Linked DNA regions of Xenopus tropicalis. The protein of the gene in region 1 purifies or fractionates together with the protein of each later gene. This does not show direct contact. Links are inferred from orthologs where the notes say so. Each region holds a gene or a part of one and is shown in the gene's direction. Other genes may lie near its edges.

The links. Proteins that work in one complex are often made in the same cells at the same time.
Region 2: the proteins of stx8 (region 1) and vamp3 purify together in Homo sapiens (co-immunoprecipitation; 3 studies listed by BioGRID and IntAct, with this or other methods). This does not show direct contact. The link is inferred for Xenopus tropicalis from reciprocal best matches to the Homo sapiens genes STX8 and VAMP3.
Region 3: the proteins of stx8 (region 1) and stx12 purify together in Homo sapiens (affinity purification with mass spectrometry; 3 studies listed by BioGRID and IntAct, counting the BioPlex papers as one, with this or other methods). This does not show direct contact. The link is inferred for Xenopus tropicalis from reciprocal best matches to the Homo sapiens genes STX8 and STX12.
Region 4: the proteins of stx8 (region 1) and vamp8 purify together in Homo sapiens (co-immunoprecipitation; 5 studies listed by BioGRID and IntAct, with this or other methods). This does not show direct contact. The link is inferred for Xenopus tropicalis from reciprocal best matches to the Homo sapiens genes STX8 and VAMP8.

The regions. Positions count from the first base shown.
Region 1 is NC_030686.2:49,471,510-49,477,389, forward strand, and holds part of stx8 (syntaxin-8), read left to right. Parts: intron 1-2,063; coding exon 2,064-2,165; intron 2,166-5,880. UniProt on the Homo sapiens protein: Vesicle trafficking protein that functions in the early secretory pathway, possibly by mediating retrograde transport from cis-Golgi membranes to the ER.
Region 2 is NC_030683.2:101,172,173-101,178,622, forward strand, and holds the start of vamp3 (vesicle-associated membrane protein 3), read left to right. Parts: upstream 1-2,728; 5' UTR 2,729-2,773; coding exon 2,774-2,775; intron 2,776-6,450. UniProt on the Homo sapiens protein: SNARE involved in vesicular transport from the late endosomes to the trans-Golgi network.
Region 3 is NC_030678.2:83,638,132-83,644,573, reverse strand, and holds the start of stx12 (syntaxin-12), read left to right. Parts: upstream 1-2,720; 5' UTR 2,721-2,741; coding exon 2,742-2,835; intron 2,836-6,442. UniProt on the Homo sapiens protein: SNARE promoting fusion of transport vesicles with target membranes. Together with SNARE STX6, promotes movement of vesicles from endosomes to the cell membrane, and may therefore function in the endocytic recycling pathway.
Region 4 is NC_030679.2:125,649,462-125,655,795, forward strand, and holds the start of vamp8 (vesicle-associated membrane protein 8), read left to right. Parts: upstream 1-2,612; 5' UTR 2,613-2,635; coding exon 2,636-2,650; intron 2,651-6,334. UniProt on the Homo sapiens protein: SNAREs, soluble N-ethylmaleimide-sensitive factor-attachment protein receptors, are essential proteins for fusion of cellular membranes.

The DNA.
Region 1 (5,880 bases):
CAAATGAGAGAGTCGGGGGTCCCTATGGCCATTTAGCTCCATGAATAAACAAAGCCCAGGCCTGTATGTGGGACGGGGGGGGGGGGGGGGGGGGGGGGGGGGGGCTGCTGTAACCCGAATACCAAGAACAACATGAAACATCCCTGATGGGGCTCTGGGGGTTACAATGGCACGGCGCAGAGCTCTGCCACTCACACACGTGCCCTTATCCATCAGCGGGATTTGCCCCGGCCTGGAGCAGTACAAAGGGGCTATTCCCACCCCTGTGCCCATTGGCTCCCCAGCCTGAGGGGGCAGCACAGAGTCACGGAGTGCTCTGCTGGGAAAGCAGCGACCCATTGGTTCTGTATGAGAGAGAATGGCCTAAAGAGCTTACAGTCTAGTCTTCTGACGGAAGTAACTGTTATTTAGGCCGGGCATGTTCCTATTTGGAATAAGTTTGCTGTTGGCAGTATCTGCCCATCTCACATAAAAATGCCACCTGGTTGCTATGATCTGTCAACATAGCAACCAGAAAGCAGATTCATAATGAAGCTAGATTATTAGTTGGCTGAGCCCAGCCCGGCTCTGGGAAGCGAGGATGATGGGAAATGAAGTTCTGGGTATGGATAAAGATACCCCCACGTGGGGCAAAGCTTCATGTGCAGTTAACTCATTCTTGCTTGGGGAGCAGCAGAATATTTGCCCCCCCCCCCCAGTTGCACCACGTGAGGGGTTTTGTGCGAAGGGCTCATTTGCCTCATAATATTCCAGTTTGACAGGGAAAATGCCCCGGGGGCCCCACAACAAACACGGCTGCACTGTGTTACCTGCAGGGGCCAAACGGAACGTTCCATGGAAGGAATTCTCCCTCGGCCTGTGAGCTCACACGTCTGAATTCCACACCTAGCGTGCCTCCCCGGGGGTGGGGGGCGCTATATGGATATATGGAACCCCCCCCTGGTGCTGCTTCTACCTGCCCAAGGGGCTTCTGGGGCTACTGTGAGACCCCCTTTGGGTCAGGAATAGAAATGGGGGGGCACTATTTTGATATATGGAACCCCCCCCCCGGTGCTGCTTCTACCTGCCCAAGGGGCTTCTGGGGCTACTGTGAGACCCCCTTTGGGTCAGGAATGGAAATGGGGGGGCGCTATTTTGATATATGGAACCCCCCCCTCCCGGTGCTGCTTCTACCTGCCCAAGGGGCTTCTGGGGCTACTGTGAGACCCCCTTTGGGTCAGGAATAGAAATGGGGGGGCACTATTTTGATATATGGAACCCCCCCCCCGGTGCTGCTTCTACCTGCCCAAGGGGCTTCTGGGGCTACTGTGAGACCCCCTTTGGGTCAGGAATGGAAATGGGGGGGCACTATTTTGATATATGGAACCCCCCCCTCCCGGTGCTGCTTCTACCTGCCCAAGGGGCTTCTGGGGCTACTGTGAGACCCCCTTTGGGTCAGGAATGGAAATGGGGGGGCGCTATTTTGATATATGGAACCCCCCCCCTCCCGGTGCTGCTTCTACCTGCTGAAGGGGCTTCTCTGGCTAATGTGAGACCCCCTTTGGGTCAGGAATGGAAATGGGGGGGCGCTATATAGATATATGGAACCCCCCCCGGTGCTGCTTCTACCTGCTGAAGGGGCTTCTGGGGCTAATGTGAGACCCCCTTTGGGTCAGGAATGGAAATGGGGGGGGCGCTATATGGATATATGGAACCCCCCTCCCGGTGCTGCTTCTACCTGCTGAAGGGGCTTCTGGGGCTTATGTGAGACCCCCTTTGGGTCAGGAATGGAAATGGGGGGGCGCTACAGTAACAGGGGGCAGTTATTTGCCACAGCCGGGGCTTGTAAATCTGCTGTGGGGTAGTGGATTCAGGGAAAGGATTATCAGCAGAGATGGTACAGGTATATTGGGGGGTGTTTGTTGGAATCCTACCTTCCCAGGTGTTCTTGGCACCCCCCGAGCCAATGGGGCACAGTTATATAGGGTGTAACTAGGGGTACAGACGGCCCCTTACCCAGCTATAGATTTCTAATAATAATAATGGGGCGCAGTGCTTATTGGGGTCTCCCCTCCTCGTTACAGAAATCATCGATGACGTGAGCGCCTTGGTGGACACGACCGACTCCAAGATCCGCAACCAAACCCGACACATCAAACTGGTGGATGGGAAATCCGGCTCCTGCGGTAGGTGCCAACGCCAATAAGTGGGGTCCAATGGGGCCGAATTGGGTCGTGGGTTCTGGTTCTGCAGAGGTGACTAAACTTTCCCAGCATCCCCATGAATCGCAGCTTCCCGTAGGGGTGTAGTTGAACTGCAGGGCTGCGCCAATGACAGGAGGATCTGGGTTCCCACGGGGAATGTGATGGGAACAAACACAATGAATTCACGGAAAGAACAAATCCAAGGACAGATATAGCGGGGGCTTATTTACCCCATGTGCCCCCCCTGGCTGGGTTTAACCCCTGTACATGCCGACTTAGCACAAGCAGAAGGGATTCTCACCCCCCCCCCGTATCTGTCTGGTAATTGCCCCCCCAGGGTTGCTCTCTGTGGCCCCAGTTCCACGCTGTTGGTCTCTTTGTTACCCCGCACACTGGGGGCAATCGTTAGGAATCCCCAAGCCCAGCCGTTCGTGCTCCCGCTGACCGCGCAGGGATTAAATGGCAAGGGGGGGCCCTCCTCCCTCCAATCCTGAAGTGGCCGGGGGGCACAAGGCTAAGTGGATTAAGGACACAATTAGTTTCGTTGCTTTGATTTGGGGGGAGATCAAGGTCACTTCTCCCAGTTTGAGATCAAGGTCAGACACAAGGGGCCGGGGGGGGGCAAATGCCGAGACAAAGCGTCCCAGCATGCCATTGTGCCGGCCCTCCATGGGTGGCCCCCGGGGTCAGAGCGATTGGTTTCTTAGGGAACCACCAGGAATCAACCCAAAGAGGGTAAATAACTCCCAGGTCAGGAGTCTGTATCATTGGCCTCCAGTAGGGGGGGACACTGGGCTGTGGGATAGACTGCAGAGCTTGCAATCAAGAGCTTTGCTTCCCTTATTGATATACAGACAGATACCCCGGGGCCCCATACACGGGTCTCTGTATCATTGGCCTCCAGTAGGGGGGGACACTGGGCTGTGGGATAGACTGCAGAGCTTGCAATCAAGAGCTTTGCTTCCCTTATTGATAAACAGACAGATACCCCGGGGCCCCATACACGGGTCTCTGTATCATTGGCCTCCAGTAGGGGGGGACACTGGGCTGTGGGATAGACTGCAGAGCTTGCAATCAAGAGCTTTGCTTCCCTTATTGATATACAGACAGATACCCCGGGGCCCCATACATGGGTCTCTGTATCATTGGCCTCCAGTAGGGGGGGACACTGGGCTGTGGGATAGACTGCAGAGCTTGCAATCAAGAGCTTTGCTTCCCTTATTGATATACAGACAGATGCCCCGGGCCCCATACATGGGTCTCTGTATCATTGGCCTCCAGTAGGGGGGGACACTGGGCTGTGGGATAGACTGCAGAGCTTGCAATCAAGAGCTTTGCTTTCCTTATTGATATACAGACAGATACCCCGGGGCCCCATACACGGGCCAATAAGCTGCCGGCGTTCTATTGCTCTGTGGCCCCCAAGCCGAGATCGTGGCTTTATTTATACATTACTGTGTGACATGGAATTTGGGGTGTAAGTGTTTATTATGGGGGTGTCTTTCCCAATCCAGCCCCCACGCACAGCAGCCCCCCTGCTAAACTATGTCAGCCTTCCAGCCTAGGGCCCCAGAGGCTCTTAAGGGCCCAAACAGGGCAGTAGATAGAGGCGGCTCCTCCACTATATTCAGCCAATAGAAATGAATGGCGCAGGGGCCACATTGGCCTCCTCCCTACGGATTAAAGGGGAGATAAGCCGGGCACCTGGATGCCAACCCCAGTTCTTACTGGCATTTAGAGCCCCCATTCCTGGCATCGGCCTATGACTGCCCACATCCCCTTCTGCCCAATAATGGAAAATCACTCCTTATTGGCTGGGCATTGGCGTAACCTCATTGGTTATGGGGCTCAGCTAAATACCCCCCTGCGTGCCATTATATGATGCCAGGAATGTGGGCACCTTGGGTAAGAGCAGCCAGGGGCACTAAGGTGCCAGGATAGTGACTATCAGGGGAGGGTATAGGGGCCCCCCCATATGACTGATCAGTGGGTCCCTATATCTATGGGCAACGTCGGACCTTCAAGGGGGGGCTTAATGTGAAATTCTGTGCTGTAGGGAAACTGAGTTGGTGGGGGGGTATTGGGGGGTTGATTGAGCAGTAGGAGCCCCCCCAGCCCGCGATATACGTTGCCCGTATTGATGGGCAGAATTCCCACGCTGCCCCGGTTAATCCCAGCTCAAGTGCTTTGCCCCCAATATAGGAAGTGGGCACTGCCAGCATGTGGTATAACTGATGGGCTGTAACCCCCCCATTCCCTTCAGCTCATTAACCCCCCCCCCCCCCCCCCCCGGCTAAACTGTCTCACAGCAGCTTTATTTGCCCAATAAACCTGCACTTCAATGGCCTTGGAAATGCCTCCATTTTTCCCCGGCGGCCTCCTAGTAACGGGGCAAACAGAGGGCCCCCCAGCCCGCGCCGGGGGGGATATGGGTGCTCATTCCACGTCCCGCTGCCCCTGACAGCAGGGACCCTTTATTTGCAGATCCCAGACCTTTGAGCCCCTCGGCTATTGTTCCCCCCCGGCGAGAGCTCCAAGCAAAGGATATGAATGTGTTCCAGGGATCAGCAAGTCCTCGGAGCCCCCCGGCGCCCCCACTCCAGCCCCGCTCGCCCCACTCTGGCTTTTCATACGCTCTGTTTGCAGAGGAGACCTGGGGGGTCAGCGCGTTGGATGAATGCTGGGCACTCAGTGTCGGATGAATAGGGGGGGACGCGGCGCGGCCGGCGGAGAATGATGGATCACCCGGGAGACAGAGAACAAGCCGCCCCCCCCCCCCCCCGCTGATACCCCCATTTGTTTCTGTGTGTACAAACCTCCCCAGGGTCCCTGTCGACTCTTTCACTGCTGGAAGAAAGGTCGCCCCCCCCCCCCCGGGGCTCACTTTGCTTTCATAAATGATGGTCGGAGAAGCTTACAATCTATCAGAAGCTGAAAGGCAGAGATGGGGGGGTTGGCGCAGAGTTGGGGGGGTTGGCGCAGAGTTGGGGGGGTTGGCGCAGAGTTGGGGGGGTTGGCACAGAGTTGGGGGGTTGGCGCAGAGTTGGGGGGGTTGGCGCAGAGTTGGGGGGTTGGTGCAGAGATGGGGGGGTTGGCGCAGAGTTGGGGGGGTTGGCGCAGAGTTGGGGGGGTTGGCGCAGAGTTGGGGGGGTTGGCGCCCTCAGAAGTCGCCCCTTGACTCCTCGGTTTCCCAGTTATTTCACTTTTATCCCCCAAAAGGGTTTGTTTCACCTTGAAATGAACTTTATAGTGAGACCGAGACATTAAAGTGTCACCCCAATACCCCCCCCGGGGGCACAGCCCTGGCACCCCTGTCTGAGGCCTCACTCGGGGGTCACTCCACGCAAACGCCCTTTATTTCTACCCTGCGCTTTAGGGCCACATGGCTGCCCAACAATAAGATTTAAAGGGTAACTTAACCCAATATTAGCGTTTCAGTAATAATTCCCAGCTCATTGTGTGGGTGTGTGAGCCCCCCGGAGCCGATGGGGGGTACCAGCCCGTTGGGTCCCAGCGCCCCAGTGTATTAGTGACCCGGCACATCTGGGGGGGTCTGGGCCTGGGATGGAATTGGGGAGGCGCACAAGGAGCCCCATTGTTCCCAGTGTATGGGTGAGAGGGCCCTTCAGAGCCCATTCTGTTCCCAGCACAAGGGTGTGTAGTGCTCGCCATTTACTGGAGGGGAACGCAGGCTGTT
Region 2 (6,450 bases), on another chromosome or scaffold:
AATGTAAAACCAAAGAAAAGAAGCAACAATGGGAAAATGTATCTGTCAAATTCTGTTTTATTATTTGTGTAATATGTCGCGTCCAGCAATAATGTAACTTTTATCTTGGTTTCCACACCTTTTAGCCTCAAATTTCGCTTTCCTGTCCAACATGTTTAGGTTCCATCACACCTTATAACAAAGTCATAAATATGAACATACTGCAGCAATCCTTCTAGGACTATATGACTATAGAATTATATAGTCCTATATATATAGGACTATATGACTAGATTTCCAGCTACACTTTCAGAAGAAACTAGTATAGCAAATAAGTACTTACCCCGCATATTAACTGGCCTTCAAGCTAGGGCCCAGTGACCTCATTCAGCCATTATACAGACTCACACATAGTTGCCTGTGAAACCATAGGGGTATTCTGAGTAAAAATGCTGACACACAAACATACGACTAACAGCTGTGAATCAGTACAGGAATTGCTCTATATTATGGCCTTTCAATTGTGTTGAAGCACATTCCAACATCCTCAGCTAACAAATTCTACACTGCGGTGTCTTTAACAAGTGAGTTAAATGAATGCACTTGGTTTTGCTGTAATCAGAGGGGGGATGAAGATATCAGGGTTCTATGAAGAGTTGGCCTAGAGGTTGAGATCAGCCTTTGATGTGGGATCTTATACTAGGGACCCTGGTTTAATTCCCTGTAGCTACTCTTTGGGATCCTGGACAAGTCCCAGCATAGTTAGTGCACCTATAATGGCTGCATTGCTTGCTTAAAGTGCTTTGAGTCCCGCTGAAGAAGTGTGCTATATAAATCATACCCCTTGGCTCATTACTGTAGAGAATGTTTTGCTAGGTTTTGTCTGTGCTTGTATAATACATATACACTGTATTGCATATGGACAGTTAAGATACAGACATTAATACAAATGATTACCTGAGGCAGTGTTGCCAAAGTGTGCCAATGGTGCAGGTGCAAGATACTAAAGGTGGGCATACACTACAAAATCTGCTCACTTAGCAAGGTCACCAAACAAACAAATCTATGCCCACCTTGGGGGGTGATATCATGCTAATTTGATCAATTGGCCCTAAGGGCTCTGGCACACGGGGAGATTAGTCGCCCGCGGGATGGCAGACGCGGCGGCGCGATTTCGCGCAAATCGCCGAAAAAGAATCGCCCCGCCGTGTCTGCCATCCCGCCGGCGACTTACATGTTCGCCGGTGGGATGGCAGGGGTAGGCAACTCGGGGAGATTAGTCGCCCGCGAACAGGGAGTTTTGCCGCGGGCGACTAATCTCCCCGTGTGCCAGAGCCCTAAAGCTGGCCATACACGTGGCGATCTGACGATGTTTCATGCGAAACATTGTCAGATCCGCCACACACCGTCAGGGCTGAAACAGCAGATAAGGAGGTAGAAACAATAGGATTTCTACCTCCTTCTGCCGATTCAGCCCTGACGGCAGATTTTGGTCAGGCGCCTTCTATGGCGCCCGATCAAAATTTTCTAACCTGGCCAATCGGCGAGTCGTCCGATATCAGCAGCTTCCTGCGATATCGGTCGACTTGCCGACATGCCATACACGCACCGAATATCGTACGAAACAAGGTTTCGGTGCGTGTATGGCCAGCTTAAGGCCAAACTATAACATGAAAGGGATACAAAAAGTCAAGCCTGCACCATCCGATCGTCATCTGGACGATTTTTGGGCAGCTATTGGTTGGGGATGCCTGTCAGAGGGCCCCATACATTGACAGATAAGATGGCGAATTACTGTGAAGAACCCGAATTGGCAGCTTTAAGGTGCATGGCCACCTTTATAGAATTGCTAATATCTTTTCTACCAACCACCTGATATCTTTCCTATCCAAACTTCCCCTCCCCAAAAATCACCTACAATTCCCCTCTTCCTTCCTAGGAGGCGTGGCTAGTCCAGGCCCACCCATGGCAAACTTTGTGTGGAACCTACTGCAGAGGAGAGTGGGTGGGGGCTCTCCAGGCCATGGGACAGGACACCTGTTTACTTGGGGAAGCTGGTTATAATAATTAAATTAATTTAACCTGCAAATAGTTGCAGTCTATATACATATTTATATTGTTTTATTTCTTCCTTAACCTCAAAACATTTTAGTCCGCAGCTTGGCCAATGTTATTAAAAGAATAACTCGTCTCCTGGTCAGGTTTATATAACGGTGTTGTAAGAATTCCATATGGATTTAGTTTGTAAGCTTTATTTGACTACTGAGGTAAATGATTATTTCTGTTACTGCGCTGCAGGCTGCATAGCTATAAGTGCAATGTTCTCAGCTACCATTTATACCAAAGGGGCCCCAGGGAGGCTGTGTGCCCAGGCTGAATACTCTCTAGTTAAACTTTAGAAGCGTTCCCCTAATGTCGCAGCAAGAAACACATTAGACTGCCCGACACGCCTAGGGCCCCCCGCCGCCTCACACTATTCTGAACATAACCCTTGCGTGTGGAATTTCGCACGCCAAGCCCCCATGCCAGTTCATTGGCGGGAATATCGCAGCGGTTTCCGCCGTTCCCCGAGGGACAATTTAACAAGACAAAACCGGGAGCGGCTGTGCCACACACGTGACCTGCTGCTCAGCTGACAGCGCTGCACCTGACGTCATTGATGCTGGCCACGCCCTGAGTTGCGCTGGCCACACCTCTCCCGGCAGCGGAACTCTACGGGATTGCGGCTACACAAGGCAAAAACGCCCAGCGGAGTAAAGTCGGACCGGTGTCCTGCAGTATCTAGCCTGTCAAAATGTAAGTGTGCCAGTAGTGCTTGGGGGGGGCTGCCTTTACAAGTTGCGGGGAACGCCCTGCCCGGTATCCGCCCTTAGCCCTGCGCTACCGAGCGGGGCCTGTGAGGCGTAGAGTTTGGGCGCAGAATGTGCTATTTTGTCCGTACAAAGTTGTATTTAGTTCGGCCGAGAAGTTTGTGCATAGGCTTATAGGGGTGTTTGACAGGGGACACAAGTGCCCTATGGCTTTAAAGGGTAAATACAATTACAATAGGCGTGTAATGTTTCAGTCTGCTTTCTGAACTCCTAGCAGTGTCGGACTGGCCCACAGGGATACCGGGAGAATTCCCAGGGGCCCTCCTGCTTCTAGCCATTTGGCCTAATTCAGGGTCCTTACTTATTTTTCTATAAGGGAACAAAGCAACTAAATATATAGAAAAATAGATTATAGTCTGTAAAGATAAAGAAAAATAACTTGGAATATATAGAGATAAGAAATGGATGAAAAATAATTTGGAGGGTGGCCCCATGGTCTAAGGCAGTGATCCCCAACCAGTGGCTCAGGGGCAACATGTTGCTCCCCAACCCCTTGGGTGTTGCTCTCAGTGACCCCAAACCAGGGAGTTATGTTTGAATTCCTGACTTGGGGGCAAGTTTTGGTTGAATAAAAACAAGATTTACTACCAAATAAAGCCCCTGTAAGCTGATAGTGTGCATAGAGGCTACCTAATAACCCTTATTTGGCTCCTCCATGAACTTTATGGTGCTTGTGTTGCTCTCCAAGTCTTTTTACATTTGACTGTTGCTCACGAGTTAGAAAGGTTGGGGATCCCTGGTCTAAGGTTTTCTGGTGGGCTTTTAGCATCCCAAGTCCGACACTGACTCCTAGCATCTAATGGGATGGGAGTTGTAGTACAATAACAGCTTGTTGTTACATTACATAATATGACTTCTGTTAGAACTCAAAATAGACTTAATGGCTCGCATTTGTATTTACTGCTTCACAAGTCTTGACTCATTTTAAGAAATGGTTCTTAATGTGAATGTTCTGCTGCAGCACATTGTTGTTTTACGGAATTTATGTTGTTCAGATTGGGTGAATTTCATCAGCAGATAGGTTTCATTTCAAGTGCATTTGCTACATGTCACAGGGTAGGTTTTGACCACCATTGTATCCTGGTGGGGGTTTAAGCCCCTGAAATCACCCACGCCTGCCTCCCATAGCAACCAGAGGAAATCACCCTTGTGATGGCTGCATAGGCTGAGGATTTCTAATACATTACTATGGGAAGTGGCAACCAGCAAATTTATCAGATATTGGTCTAAGAATCATAATAAGGAACTTGTTACAGTTAGGTAATACTATTTAGGGTGAAGACACACAGAGCTACTAGTAGCAGCTACTTGTCATGGCTACTAAAAAAGGCTGCTGATCATTTACTGATAGTTATCTCTACATGTGTTAGGGCATTAGGGTATTTTCTGGAGTTTAGTAGCCTTTACAAAGTAGCTGGTACTAGTTGCCCATTGTGTCTTCACCCTTAAAGGAACAGTAACACCAAAAAATGAAAGAGCTTTAAAGTAATAAAAATATAATGCACTGTTGCCCTGCACTGGTAAAACTGGTGTGTTTGCTACAGTAACACTACTATAATTTATATAATAAGCTGCTGTGTAGCCATGGGGGCAGCCATTCAAGCTGGAAAAAAGGAGAAAAGGCACAGGTTACATAGCAGATAACAGATAAGTTTTATCTGTTATCTGCTATGTGCCTGTGCCTTTTCTCTTTTGAATGGCTGCCCCCATGGCTACATAGCAGCTTATTTATATAAATTATAGTAGACTTTCTGAAGTAAACACACAGCTTTTACCAGTGCAGGGCAGCAGCACATTATATTTTAGTTACTTTTATACAATTTCATTTTTTTGGTGTTGCTGTTCCTTTAAGTATCCAGATTATAACCCATATAGATACACTTGGTCAGTGTAGCAGATCTCTTCCAAACTGACTGAACATTAGGATGTAGCCTTTAGGTGACGTATTAACTTTTTTGTGACCCCAGTAGGTCCCTTCTTTCTCTAGAGAATTGCAGATTGCTGATAGCATAGCTCAATCCAATTGGGAACTCTTTTTTTGTGTAAGTCATTTATTTCAGATTCTTCTGATTAATATAATGTAACCGTATGTTGTTAGAGAGGAGAATGCCAGGGTTACACCCAAATTATTTACTCAGAGAAGGGCCAGCAGCAATAAAACAGCTTTAAACCCATTTTTACCAAAAAGGAGAGGAGCTGATCTGCACGTAGATCCCAGTAATTACCCTGGCACTAAGGAGAAGAGAAAGTGTAGCAGCTGCCTGTTTCACTTATGATCTACAGCTGCAGACCAGAATATTGTAATAAAATTATAATTATACACAATTTGTAGATTATAAGCTCTTTTGGGCAGGGCTCTCTTCACCTCTTGTATCAGTTATTGATTGCTTTATATGTTACTCTGTATGTCCATTGTATGAAACCCACTTATTGTACAGCGCTGCAAAATATGTTGGCGCTTTATAAATAAATGTTAATAATATACTGTAAGTTTTGCACTATGTGCACTTATTGCTCAAAGGTCTTTACCTTTGAGCAATAAGTGCAAAACTTACAGCAAAGTTTCTGGTGAATTCCATTCAGATGTTGGGGGCTAATGACTCCCCAGACACTTTTACATTTGATGTGCGTGTGTGTGGAGTTTGGGAGGCATTCTGTCTCAGAGGCTGATTATATCAGAGCTGCAAAGTGTCAATAGGCCAAGTGAATCCCCAGTGGCACCAGTTTGCTTTTAAAGGGGTTGTTCACCTTTTATAGGAGAAGGAAAGGTAAAATCACTGGGGGGTGCTAAAATGTTAGGCACCCCCTAGAGATTGTAATTGCTTACCTTATACCCCAGGTTGGTGCTCCTGTGAGGAGAAAACCCCACCAGCCCGGGGTAGCTAAGAACAAGCGATCCTCTTCCTCCTGTCTACTTTCTTCGTGATCCCGGGGCCAACGCATGTGAGGTAGAGGGAAAAGGCCAGCTTTGTTGTAAAAGTTTGGGTTTTGACTCTACTGCGCAAGCGACTCAAAGACAAGAAGAAGGAAGAGGATCAGTCTTTCGCTGCTACCCTGGGCTGGTGTGTTTTCCTCCCCAGTGATTGTACCTTTCCTTCTCCTTTTAGTAAGGTTTAATTGGTTTTCATTATTATTATTTTTTATAGTTGAATTATCTGCCTTCCTCTTCTGACTGTTTCCAACTTTTAAATGGGGATCAATGACACCGGCAGCTTAAAACTATATCTTTGTGGTCATGCAATTTTATTGTCATTGTTAATTTTTAATACTTAATCTTTCTATGCAAATCCTCTTCTATTCATGTTCCCAACTCTTACAAACCACTGCCTGGTTGTTAGGGTAAATTGCATCCAATAGCAACCAGATAGCTGCTAAAAGACCAAACTGGAGAGCTGCTAAACACAAAGCTAATTAATTGGATTGTGACTAAAAATATAGTGTTTGTGAATGTGATAGGGATCTTAGATTGTAAGCTCCTCTGGGGCATGGCTGATGCAAATGATGTATAATTTTTGTAAAGTGCTGCAGAAATATGTTGGCGCTATCGAGGAAATAAATAATACATCCAACAGGTAGGATCTGATTTTGGACATGCTTGTTG
Region 3 (6,442 bases), on another chromosome or scaffold:
AAAACTCAAGCAGAACCTGAAAAGGGTAGAAAACAGTTAATGATTTGTGCTCCAGACAAAGGGTCCATTCAGGCCAGAGACCACTGGCAAAACTCCTGGAACCCCAGCAAGCCAGGCTGACATTGCTACTAGGAGAGCAGCATAATATATGCAAGACTACTGGGGGTACACCGTGTGATCTCAATAGAACTGTGTGACAAGGGCAGTGTGATATGTACAAGACTGCTAAGGATGACAGTGTTATAAGTACAGGACTGATATAAATTTCTGTCCAGCACTTTGGTTTCATTTCTCAAAATGGTCACTGGCTGACTCTGCAGAATTATGCTTAATTGTCCTACAGACTGAATGAATGGATGGATTATGAATACCACACTACAGTCCATACACGTGGTTTTGTTTTATTGTTCTGTTCATTCGGACCTACAGCCTGTACAATCAGAACTGCAGGAAGTGGTTCCTTTTTCATCTGGAAGATTATATTTTGAGACTGATTATTTGTGCTGTGACAGAGTTGCAGGAGGGCTGCATTACTCATGGTCATTGCTTTCAATGGCTCTCAAAGATTGAGCTACTTTCCAATCTCATCATGGTGCATTCCAGAGTATTGCCATCATAAGAAACCTAATCATCAGAGGTACCTGGTAGTTACAGCAGAAAAAGCAGGGCCCCAATTAAAAACTTTGGGCCCTGTACAAGTAATTTACATAGGACCCGCAATGAACACAAGTGTGCAGTACCAAATTTTTGTGTGTGCAAATTGAACAGCTGATGATACTCTATAATAAGTAGTTCATAAATAAAGTTAATGTGTTAGTTAATATAAAGAGTTAATTAATGTGCTAATTAGCGGTTATCTGGGTCAGTGGATTTTGCTGTAAATTTCAATCCTACACTTCTTCCTGCTCTTGCTCTGCACTGCCATTACTTGATGCATAAAATACATAAACTGCGTAAGTTTAAGGGCCCAGTGATCTTGCTGTGGGGCCCAATAAATAGTCAGTATTAGTTCTTTGAAAGTATCGGACGTTTTTGCATAAGTTACATAAATTGTGTAAGTGTAGGGGCCAAATGATATTGCTATGGGGCTCAATAACCAGTCATTCCACTGCTGAAAAGTTCATGTAGGAGATGCTCATATAATTCAGTAAATGAATCCCAATATAAACAGCTGATGTTACACTATAACATAATTAATATAAATACATAAAATAATATGCCAATAAGTCAGCAAGTCAATTGGGAAGGGGGCAGTGGAATTTACCTTGAGTTTTTTAATTCATTGGTGGTCAGTGGAGTTGGCCTCTGCCAAGTTTCTTTGCCTTGTCTTTACCTTGATACACAAGGTAAGTAAGTTTCTAGGCAGTTTTTACGGAAGTTACACAAATTGTGTACGCTTTGACGGAACTTCATACGTAATAAACAATTTTAATAACTTTGGCAACACTGCCAGGCCCACCATCAGAAGATTATTTCACCGAGCACTGCACAACAGTACCCCTCTCCCCCTGACGGTGGCTCTGAAAGAGAGGATGATAATGGGATGGGAAAGAGGAGAGCAGTTAAGGGGTCTTTTTTTAAAAATTCCTGGCGCACCTCTGCTAATTCAAACTACCGTATTTCTACCTCCCACACACACAATACTTTCTTAAAGATGATTCAAAATGCAGTGACGCAAAGATTTTTGCGTGGCACAATACTCATCACTTGCCTCTGTAAGAACAGTAATCCCTAACCAGTGGCTTGTGAGCAACATAGTGCTCGCTAACCCTAGATGTCTCTCCAGGGGGTCTTAAAGCAGGTGCTTGTTTTTTAATTTTTGGCTTGAAGGCAATTTTTAGTTGCATAAAAACCAGGTGTACTGCCAAACAGAGCCTCCTGTATGCTGCCAGTCCTCATAGGGGCTACCAAATAACCAATCACAGTTCTTATCTAGCAACCCCCAGAAACATCCATACATAAAACGCTGCTATCCACTGGCACTGATGGACTTACCAAACTGCCCTCCCTCAGCATTCAGAGTTCCCAAGAAGTCCAACAGATATTACACATCGCCATGTCCAGACTGGGAGTCAAAATAGGCCCTGGCATTTCAAGTACACAAGAGGTCCAAACAGCCCTCTACCAGCCCAATAAATATTAACTGTCTATAACATCTTACAGCAGCTCCTCTGGCATTTGCCAGAACCCATAGATTGCCAGTCCCAGCCTACACATCACTCATATATAATTCCTGTATATATCACCTTGCCCTTTAACAGCAGCCTTGAACATACATATCACACACTATGCTTCAACTGCTTACCTGTTGTACAGGTAAACAACATTTTACTAAAGATCACAATACTTGTCCCCCATGTGCACCCAGCATATTTCTCATCTCCCTCCATTAAATCCAAGTACTAGGGGTGTAGGGAAAAAAAAATAATTAGACCCAGCAATTGCTCCAGGACCTGGGATATTAAGTACCCCATCCTCCAAAGGCGCACTTGCTGATTTTTATAAACCAGCAGAATTCTACATTTGCATTCCTTGTTCTCTTTAAAGGAGTGGCAACAACAGCATCTTTTCCAAGCTGTCACGTGGTATCATGACTGGGAGGCGCTTATCGCTGATAGGAGCCTGACAATTCCTACGTGACATCACGGTCACATGGCTATGACATCACGACTTCCTTAGAGTCGCTTCATCCCACCATCTCTTATACTCAGAAAGGAGGACGGGGCCCTAAGAGGAGCAACATGTCTGGGTACATGAAGCAGCAGAGCCGTGCCCGGGACTTCAACAGCATTATTCAGACCTGCAGCGGCAATGTGCAGAGGATCACAAATAACAGTCAGTATCCCCAGTTTTTCTACAGAGCACCGGTCCTATTCCTGTATATATATCCGTGATCGCAGCGAGCTGCACACACCCGCAGTATATAGATGGGGGTACTGGTGGAGATTTGAAGGACGAATTGTTAGCCATTGGCAATGGGAACTTTTGGACAACAGAGATTAACATGTTATATGGGCCCCTTGTATTATGTGTAATTCCCAGGTGCTACACACCCACTGATGTACAGGAAGGGCGGCTATACTGACACAGCTGGAAATAGAGAAAATTATTTATATAGCATTGCATATATGGAGACTGGACAGTTGGCAAATGACAAAAATCAACTAATGTTTCCTTGTGTTGGTTGGTGGGTGGGTGTACAGTACAGCAGCTATCAGCTGGCATGTTCATTGGCAGAGGGGCACAGAGAAGCAGGGGTGACAGGCAGGAAGGGAGCTAAGTGCAGTGGGAAGTCATTTCCTACTGGAGATTCCTGATTGGGTTACTGTTACCAAGAAGTTACTACTGTTAGGCTTGTCACCTGGTTGGGCTCTTGCTGTGGTTAAACTACACATTACAATATTATCCTAAAGGCAGCATTTGTAGAAATGTAGTTCAGCAACCAGTGAAATCAGGCTGAGCAGTTTTACCCTCGCTTACTGAATTTGTGTTGAGTGGGTTACATTCCTGCCTTACTCCATGGGGGTTTTTTGTTCCCCCCTAACTGCCTGATCACTGCTTTGCAAGCTCAGAGAAAATTTTGGGCGTGGGCACAAGCAGGATTCACCAGGTCAGGCAGGGGCCATGAAATTGTAATATTTCCTTCCTCCCAGCATGACAGCAGGATAGGAGTTCATAATGTGTGATTTATCATGTTGAATGAATGAGACTTGGCAGGAAATATGTATTTTCTTGTATATCATTATGTATTAGATTCACAGTATTGACTTCTGCCAATCATTACATACCCCCAGAAGTAAGTAAATAAATAAATATGGAGTCTTGGTACTACTGGCCTCTGTTCTTCAAGTCTATGTGTAGTTTCATTCTTAAACAAGTGTTCAGCTCTTAATTAAAGGATGCCATGGAATAGTAGTAAATACGTCATAAGAGCAATTTGTCACTCCCTCTATTTGGACTAGACATAAGACATTTACTATCCAAACATACCCATTCCTTAACCATCTTAAAGGGGCATCTTTAACAAAATTACACTTTGCCTGTTGGTCATGTTAGGTTTAGTAAAGTAAAGGAATTTGGGGGGAAAATACCTTACATTTTTACTTGTTAAAAATCCTATGTTTCCGCTTCCATTTGAAAGTGAAATCACATGATTAATGTCCTTAGTCTAAGAAGGCAGCAGTCAGTCCTGTCTTGCTTTATAGCTGAGAATCTAGTTATCTTTATAACAGAACATTCATTGTACTGTGATTCAAGCAGGCTTGGACTGACATGGTATTTTTTTTTAAAAAGGTTTTTTTGAGATGATAGTATCTTAATTATATTCAGTATTTTTAATGAGAAGTGGTAAATGTGCACTCCATGTGAGAGCCTCTAATTAAAAGTGGATATAGCAAGGACGTAATTCATGTAATGAGATTTTTTGTTCATTGTTCACTATGCTGCTGTTTTTCTTTTTGTAATTATAGACTAGCACAGTGCAGTGTTTACAGGAAAATTGCTGCTGTCCTACAAATGACTGTTATTGTATGTTTTGGAATGGCCCAGTTATTCTGCACTGATAACAGCACACTGCTGAGATCTGATAACTGTGTTTTCAGCTTCTCGGTATGCTGTCAAGGTGTGTTGTTGTGTCATACTGATATAAGGTGCACTGTTGTCATGAAGTGCGGTACAGGTTGAAGTTACATAGTCTTTTTCAGATAGGTAATGTTTTATTGGGCATGTTCAGCAAATATAATTTATACAGAGACTTTACAGGTTTTCACAGGAATTTGTTGGTGAAAAAGGTTCCTTCCATAACCTAAAGCTTTAACACTGAAGCCTGGCATCCCCCTACCCCCTTTACTTACCTGTGGCACTTGTCTAGTCAAGGTTGATTTAAACAGTACTTCCAGCCTTGTCGGGTCAGTACCACACCCAAAGCCCAACATCTTCAAAACAGCAGCCATTTCTAAAAAAGAAGTTGAAGTCTGGTACAGGTAAATAAAGAAGGTGCAATATTTTAGTTGTAACTCATTAGAGATGGCCTAGAAAAGGAATATCAATAATAAATATAAATTTCTATTAAAAAAAAAAAAAAACACAGGTACAGGTATGCGACCTATTATCCAGAATGCTAGGGACCTGAGATTTTATGGATAAGGGATCTTTCTGTAATTTGGATCTCCATAGCTTAAGTCTACTAAAAGATTATTTAAAAATTAACCTCAATAAGCTTGTTTTGCTACCAATAAGGATTAATTTTATCTTAGTTGGAATCAAGTTCAAGTAACTGTTCTGTTATTACAGAGAAAAAGGACATTTAAAAAAAATATTAGAATTATAGGCTTATAATGGAGTCAGTGGGAGTCGGAACTTCCTGGATAAGGGGTTTCCTGATAACAGATCCCATACCTGTACAGGTTTGGGATCAGTTATCTGGAAGACTTCAGACCTGGGGTTTTCCGGATAAGAAGTCTTCCCATGATACTGATCTCAGTACCTTTTTTAAATTTGTTAAAAGGAAAAAAATAATCTGCTACCAACATGGATTTTACTAATTTAGTTACCATGCAAGTACAAGGTACTGTTTTCTTATTACAGGCAGTATGGCCACTTATGACCCACCCCCATTCTGGTCGAATCATTGGAATACACAAGTACAGGTGATTTTCACAAAGACCACCCTTGAAAATATGCACAAGGATTTCAGATGAGAATCCCATTATAATCGCCAGTAATAGCTTTTCCATATGTATTATGGGGCTATAATATGAGTCTATTTTTACACTCTTTAAAGTGAAGATAAGTATGCTGGTTACAATTTCTGCCAACTCCTCCTTGCAAAAATTTTCCAGATCTTTCAAATTTCAAGGGCATCTATTGTGCACAGCCCTCTTCAGGTCACCCCCAGATTTTCATTCAGATTAAGGTCTAAGCTCTGGCTGGGCCATTCTGGAAAATGTATCTTTCTTTGGTGAATCCATTGCTTTGTTGATTTAGATGTATGCTTTGGGTAATTGTCATACTGAAAGGTAAAGTGTAGGGAACAACCAGTACTTGCCAAGAAATCCAGCAGCTCCTTTAATGTTGTTGAAGGCCTCCCTGACCAGTTTTCTCCTTGTCTTCTCATCAATCCTGATCTTTGTATAGTCACTGTTGAGCTATATTTTCTCCTCTCGTTGATGACTTCACCATGCTCCATGGAATTTTTAATGATTTGGATAATTTTTGTACCTCTGTCCCCATTGATACCTTTCAATGATGAGATCTTTCAAGTTTTGAAAGTTTTTTGTGGACCATGGCTTTTGGAGTATGAGACCAGGAAACCTTATCTGAGCTCTATCAGAGCCACTTTAATTGATGTCAGGTATATACTAAGTACTGTTTGAGATGAGACTGAATGTGATTAGTTGATTCTGAATGCAGCCACATCCTTGATCATTAAAGGGTGTGCACA
Region 4 (6,334 bases), on another chromosome or scaffold:
TGCTGCTAAGCCACTGCACTGTACTAGGAAGGCTCATAGTAAGTGGTTGCTGAGATAGGAATCACAAGCAGTTAATTCTTCACGTGATTGCTATATCTGTTTCCTGCTGGGAAATTACAGTATCTTAAATTCATTACCAAATTCAGTACCAAGTATGTCAGCTGACCTTTACTTGTACGCCCTTTCCCTGTAGAGGACTGTATGATTTTCTCTGAATTACCTGGCATAAACCTTTCTAATGCAGCTTCTTACAGTGAGGAACATGCTTAATTCAGCCCCAAGGCAGGGCCGGAACTAGGGGTAGGCAGAAGAGGCAGCTGCCTAGGGTGCAACGATTGGGGGGCGCCAGGCAGGAGCCTCTCCTGCCTACACCTAACTCCTTTGTCATTGCCCCCTCCGCTTGTCATTACGCAGTGGCGGCAATGAATTATCGCGTGGGGGGAGAAGGTGCAAGGGCCGGGTTGCCTAGGGCGCCTGATCGCCCGCCCCTGGGCCCTACCCAGATGTAGCCCAACCATAACCCCTTTCTGTTTTGAAACTGGGCAATTGGCAGGGATGGGCTGGGTATGTGTAGGAGCTATATTATCAACTGAGCCGTAATAGGAAGGTGAGCAGCAACCTAGATGTAACTGCTGTTCCTAGAGTAAAAAAAAAAACTCAGAAAAGTCCAGTTGTTTTAGACTTAATTCTACTAGATACTGTAGTGTAGAGTAATCAATGTGGTTTATTCGGTAAGGCATTTGTGTGGCACTAGCCTGTGAGTGTGTGATTGCACTGGGCAGTTGTTTGTTAAGTAGTTCTGGCAAAGAAATAGTGACTGTTATGAAGGGCTCATTTTAACCCAAAGAGTCTCCCTGCTTGCCACTAATACACACAGGACCTCAGTGTCAGACTGAGATGCCAGGGGCCCACCAGAAAACCCTGAACCATGGGCCCACTCTCAAAACATTAAGTCCTCCTCTCCTCCCTCAAACTCTTTATTATTCTAGTCTCTTTTCTCTACATACTATACTCTATTCTTCCATCCATCAAGCTTCCTTGTTCCCATACAGAAACAGGGAATGGCCATGAAATAGGCTAAATAGTTAGAAGCAAGAGGGGCCACTGACACCTGGGCCCGCCGGAAGTTTTCCTGGTATCCTGGTGGGCCAGTCCAACTGCAGGACCTAATGGGATTTTGTAGTAAAATATCAACCTGCATATTACATTTTATCCCCCTTCAGCATTCGTAGACAGTTTTTAGCTAAATTCCATTTAGTGTGGCTATACCTGGCCAACGCAACGAAGCAATATGAACTATCAGACCGAAAATCTGCCCAGTGTGGTACTAGCCATAATGAATGAAATGGAAAAAGAATAAAGGGGAACTATCAGGTGGGTGTCTGGGCTTAAGGGACCATTAACACTACACTGTTTTTCATACAACTAAATATAACTAAAGTTATTGCTACATATCTCCACTAATGGAGAAAACACCACAACTGTTCTGAACCACTGTGAAAATACAATTTCAGTTGTGACAGGACAGGAGAATAAACCACAGCAGGGGTGCAACTACAGAAGATCAAACCCTACAGTTGTTGGGGACACAGGATGTATAGAGGGCCCATGGTCACTGACTGATAGACAATTTCATTTCATTCTTATCTGAAATTATGGTCGCCACCTTTGTTGGTGGCGAAACCTGAAAAAAAGGGTGGGGCAAATGACATCAGGGGTGGGGCAGTGATGCTGGGGGTGGGTGAGATGACATCAGAGGCAGGCACAATGATGTCACACCAGGTTATGATGCCAGAGCAGGGTTTTGCATCACTTACACACAACTGGCTGCACTTCTGTCCAGTTCTTTCAATGGCTCAAACCGGACAGACAGTTTTGAACCAGACAGACCTTTGAAAACCTGGGATGTCCAGTTCAAAACCACAAGGGTGACAACCCTAGCTCTATCTATATTTTTGCCTGATGAGTAAGTCCAATCCTGTAATTAAAGGAATGGAACCTGTTACACAGAAATCAGTTATCCAGAAAGCTCTGAAGTACCGCAGTGCTAATTTAGAAGAATGATGCCTTATTTCTGACTTGCTTTTTCTCTCTGTAGTAACAAGAAATTGTTTTTTAACTATTAATAGAAAAAAAAAATCATGTTGACTATCTTAATATTTAAATGTTTTTCATTTATTGGCCAGATTATTGTTAAGGTTTTACAAGGCTAAAAACTGAACAGTTAAAACCTGAACATGCCTTAGAGTTTAGCTGTAGCTTTGCTCAGGGGCACAAAATATAGTTATTCACTCTTGGGTTGTCAAATGCCACTGATGGGCAGGCTCAACAGAATTATAGAACATAACCCGTTTTCCTTTGAAAACTCTGTTCTAGGGACTCTGTGCCTCACAAACAGCACCTGTTACTTTCTTTTTAGCAAGGAACGACTATTGTGAGGTAAACTGTCCCCATTGGGGCCCCGCCCACAATACCTGGAGGAGGGCCCTCCCACTAGCCCTGCGGGGAGGGGAGAAGCAGCGGGGCCGGAGGTGGGAGGGAGAGCAGCCCGAAGAGGAAGGATCGCTTTCATAAGTCACAGGCAACAGGAAGAATAACAAATTCCCCTTAAGCAGATTCAGAGGGACAGACAGCCATGGACAGGAGGCCGGTGAGTGGTTAAAGGGAGGAGGGGGAGTGTAGAAAGTTAGTACGGTCGGGGCTGATAGAAACTTGGGGACCCCCAAATGTTGTTGCATTGAAAAACTTAGGTTGGAACAACTTTCTGCGCCTGAGCTCTTGCGGAACTATAACTGCTACACTTCCCTGGCAGCTCTTGGTTGGGGGGCTGGGAGTTATAGTTTCCATAAGAGGGTCCCTGGCAATGCAGGGAAGGTGGGGAAAGTGTTGCTGTGCCGGTGAGGGGTAGGGGCAGGGAGACAGAAGTCGGGCCGGTAGCTAATGCTTAGGGCAATGGAATGAAGTTGGGGGGGGGGGGGCGCAGGAATGTACCATTGTACAGAGGGAGACAGGAGGAAATGGCGTTTAGCAATAAGGGTTTGAGAAGGAGAGTGCAGAGAGATTAGCAGGACGGGCACATGAAGGAGATTAGATCCCTGTTGGACTTTGGATCGGGCTGTTTACTTCCTACTGAGGATAATGACAGACTGGGGGAGAGGGGCATGGGGGAACAGTAATGTATGGAGGAACAGTAATGTATGGGGCTTCTCTGGGCCACTGGGGATGTGGATTATAGATCAGAGCCAGGGCATTAGCTAGGAGCCCCAGCAATAGGCAGCCTTTATATGTTATTGCATCTTCCTTTTGAAGGGCAGTTTGTGGTTAATAAAGGAAATTGCTTGTGTACTTAGTTTCACAGTACTGGGCGGTAATGGGCTACCAAGTGCAAAGTTTGCTCCACTTCTAAAAACCTATAGGGACCAATTAGTAGGGGCATTTGCTAAAGATAAATATGATTGTTTGCTAGGGGTTACTGGGGCAAACTTTGCACCTGTTATTACATTAACCCTGTATTGCTGAGTATGTATGGCATGAGTATCGGTATAAAAAAAGTTATTTATCCATAAAGAAAAAACTTCTAGGGATCCTGTAATGTTCAGGCAAGGGGGAAACTGGACTATACAAAGGCTCTTTATCCTCTTGACTACATATTAACTGCTGGCTCTGTAAGTTCATTGATTTGGGCAAAACATAATATTTTCTGTAGTATCAGATATTTTGTGTTATTTGTTTTTCTGCTGTAAAAATATATGGCGCAAACTAGGGAATGAGCAACGTGTGGATCTTAGCATCTTGCTGGGTGTGGGGGTTGTAGTTTGACAACATCTGGAGGCATTTATTATGAATTTGCATCAACTGATGAACATAGGTAAATGTGTGTTGTATCTTGTGGCATTTGCTCGTGTCGGCACCATAATTTATTGGGCGCTTTGTTATTAATCACTAATGGTTACCATTGTGCCATGGCTGCACCTGTCGGGACGTGTGTACAGCTGGGAATTGCACAGACGCAGTGTGAGTGTGCAGATTCCTTTGCATTGTGTGTAAACAGTGATTCAAGTCTTCAGATTCCAATAATGAATATAGGGTGTCAGTCATCATCTCTCTCTCTAATCTGATCAGTGCCCGGCCCTCCTCTCTGGGATTCAGGCAGTGCATGGGTTAAGCAGACATTTCAGACTTTCCAGGACGCAGATAGGTGTGTACATGGGATGACGTCGTCAGGTTGGCTATAATTGTGACAGTGACACATAGGCCAAGGAGGGTGCTGTAACCCTTATCTTGCGGGAGCCGGGATCAAGTTAATGATGTCTTTCATTACCAACTGTCTTGTCTGAGAAGCTAGAAAAGTGCCGGCTTTCTACTGAATCCCAGGATCAGAATCCTGGATTTGGTGCACGCCTAATACTTCCCCACCAGGCTGCAGCCATAGAGGGGCGCTATAGCACAATTTCATGCAATGTTTAATTACTGCGCAACAGTACTGCTTGCCTAAGGAGCGCTATATGAATAAAAATATACATAAATACAAATTCTTCCATCTGGGGAAGAATAGAATAGAATTTCCTATTCTTAGTAAATTTTTAGTTGGTCTTCATTTTTTTGAGTTATTTGCATCCTCTTCTGGCTCTTTCCAGCTTTCAAATGGGGATTTGGCAGCCAAAACACTATTGCTCTCTGAGGCTCCAATATTATGGTTACTTTTTATTTCTTATCTATTCAGGCTTGTATTCATCTTCCAATCTCTCTTTCATCCCAGTGGCTAATTGCTAGGGTAATTGGACCCTAGCAACAAGATAGCTGCTAAAATTTCAAACTGGGAAGCTACTGAACAAAAAGCTAAATAATTCTAAAAACAAAAAAAATGTCCATAAACCATAAAAAGACCAGTTGAAAATTCTCACAATATCATTGTTTAAATCATATTCAGTGTTGGTTTAAAGGGGAACTAACCTTTTACCACTAGATCCTGAAACTTTTCCAGCCTGTCCCTCTCTCCTAGGTGTACATTTAATTTACTAACCTCTGTGCAGATCACTTTCTTCCTTTATAACGCCCTAAGTCATTGACATTATATTGTAGCTCAAAGAATACTTTCTCATTTTTTGGTATTTACTGTACTCTCTTGTGTATTTTATTCTCTTCTCTGCATCCTCCCTCCCTAGGCAGCGAGGCTGATCCCTAACTATTATCAGCTGCACAAAGCTGTTATTATTGAATAACCTGTTTGTTATTAGCAGGTTCTGGGGGTGCGGCCTAAGAGTGTGTGCGTCATTGTCTTGAGGACGATGCAGGGGAGGAATTACCGAGACAATCCCTCATAGAACAAATGATATGTTTAATGCAGTGATTCTTAATCTTTTGTTTTTTAAGGGTATTAAATTTTGTTAGAGAATTAGCCACATGACCCAAAAACTGATTTAGAAACATTTGTGCCCCTCATTTTCATTATAATTTCTATTGTAATAAATAATGTCACATTCTAAAGGGGCTGTTCGTGGCCAACGTCCAACAGCATGGGGACTCATTCTGGGATGTAACCTAAAGGAATTTAAATAGAGACTGTACTTAAGTAACAAAGTGGCCTGCTGGGGCCTTTTATTAGTTTGTATAGGGGGTTTTCATATCTTGGCCTGGACTGGCAATCTGTGGATTCAGCCAAATGCCAGAGGGGCTGCTGTAAGATGCCATAGTCAGTCACTATTTATTGGGCTGGTAGGGGGCTGTTTGGGCCTCTGTGTACTTGGAATTCCAGGGCCTATTTTGACTCCCAGTCCAGGCCTGCTTGCACTTGATGAACATGTGTCTATATATATATATATATATATGTATTAATATTTTCATATTTATAGGGTATAGGAATTATATATCCCTATAAATAAGTGTATAAGATTTTATAGTCATTATATTATAAATGGAATGGGCCTAAAATGTGAGGGTGTGGTAACACCCTAAAGATCCATATATGTACACTTTATCACAGTATGGCTCCAAAATTCAACTTATGGAGTTCAGATTGCAGTAAGCTCTGCCACAATTTCCTGCTAAAGTTAATTTGCTTAAGCAAATCTACCCAACCAAATCTAGATGTGAATAGCCAACTTTAGGACAGTGGCTTACAGGGTTGTTCACCTTTGAGTTAACTTTTAGTATGATGTAGAGCAGGGGTGCCCAGACTTTTTAGCACTGCAATTGGCTCCTCCCTGTGTACGTACACGACGCAGCATACATATGCACACCACATAAAAGTGCCGCATTTCAAGGCTTAGACGCAGTCCAACAGAAGTCCATGGGAAATCGACTGGTGGACCGCCATCAACGTTTTGGCCACCCC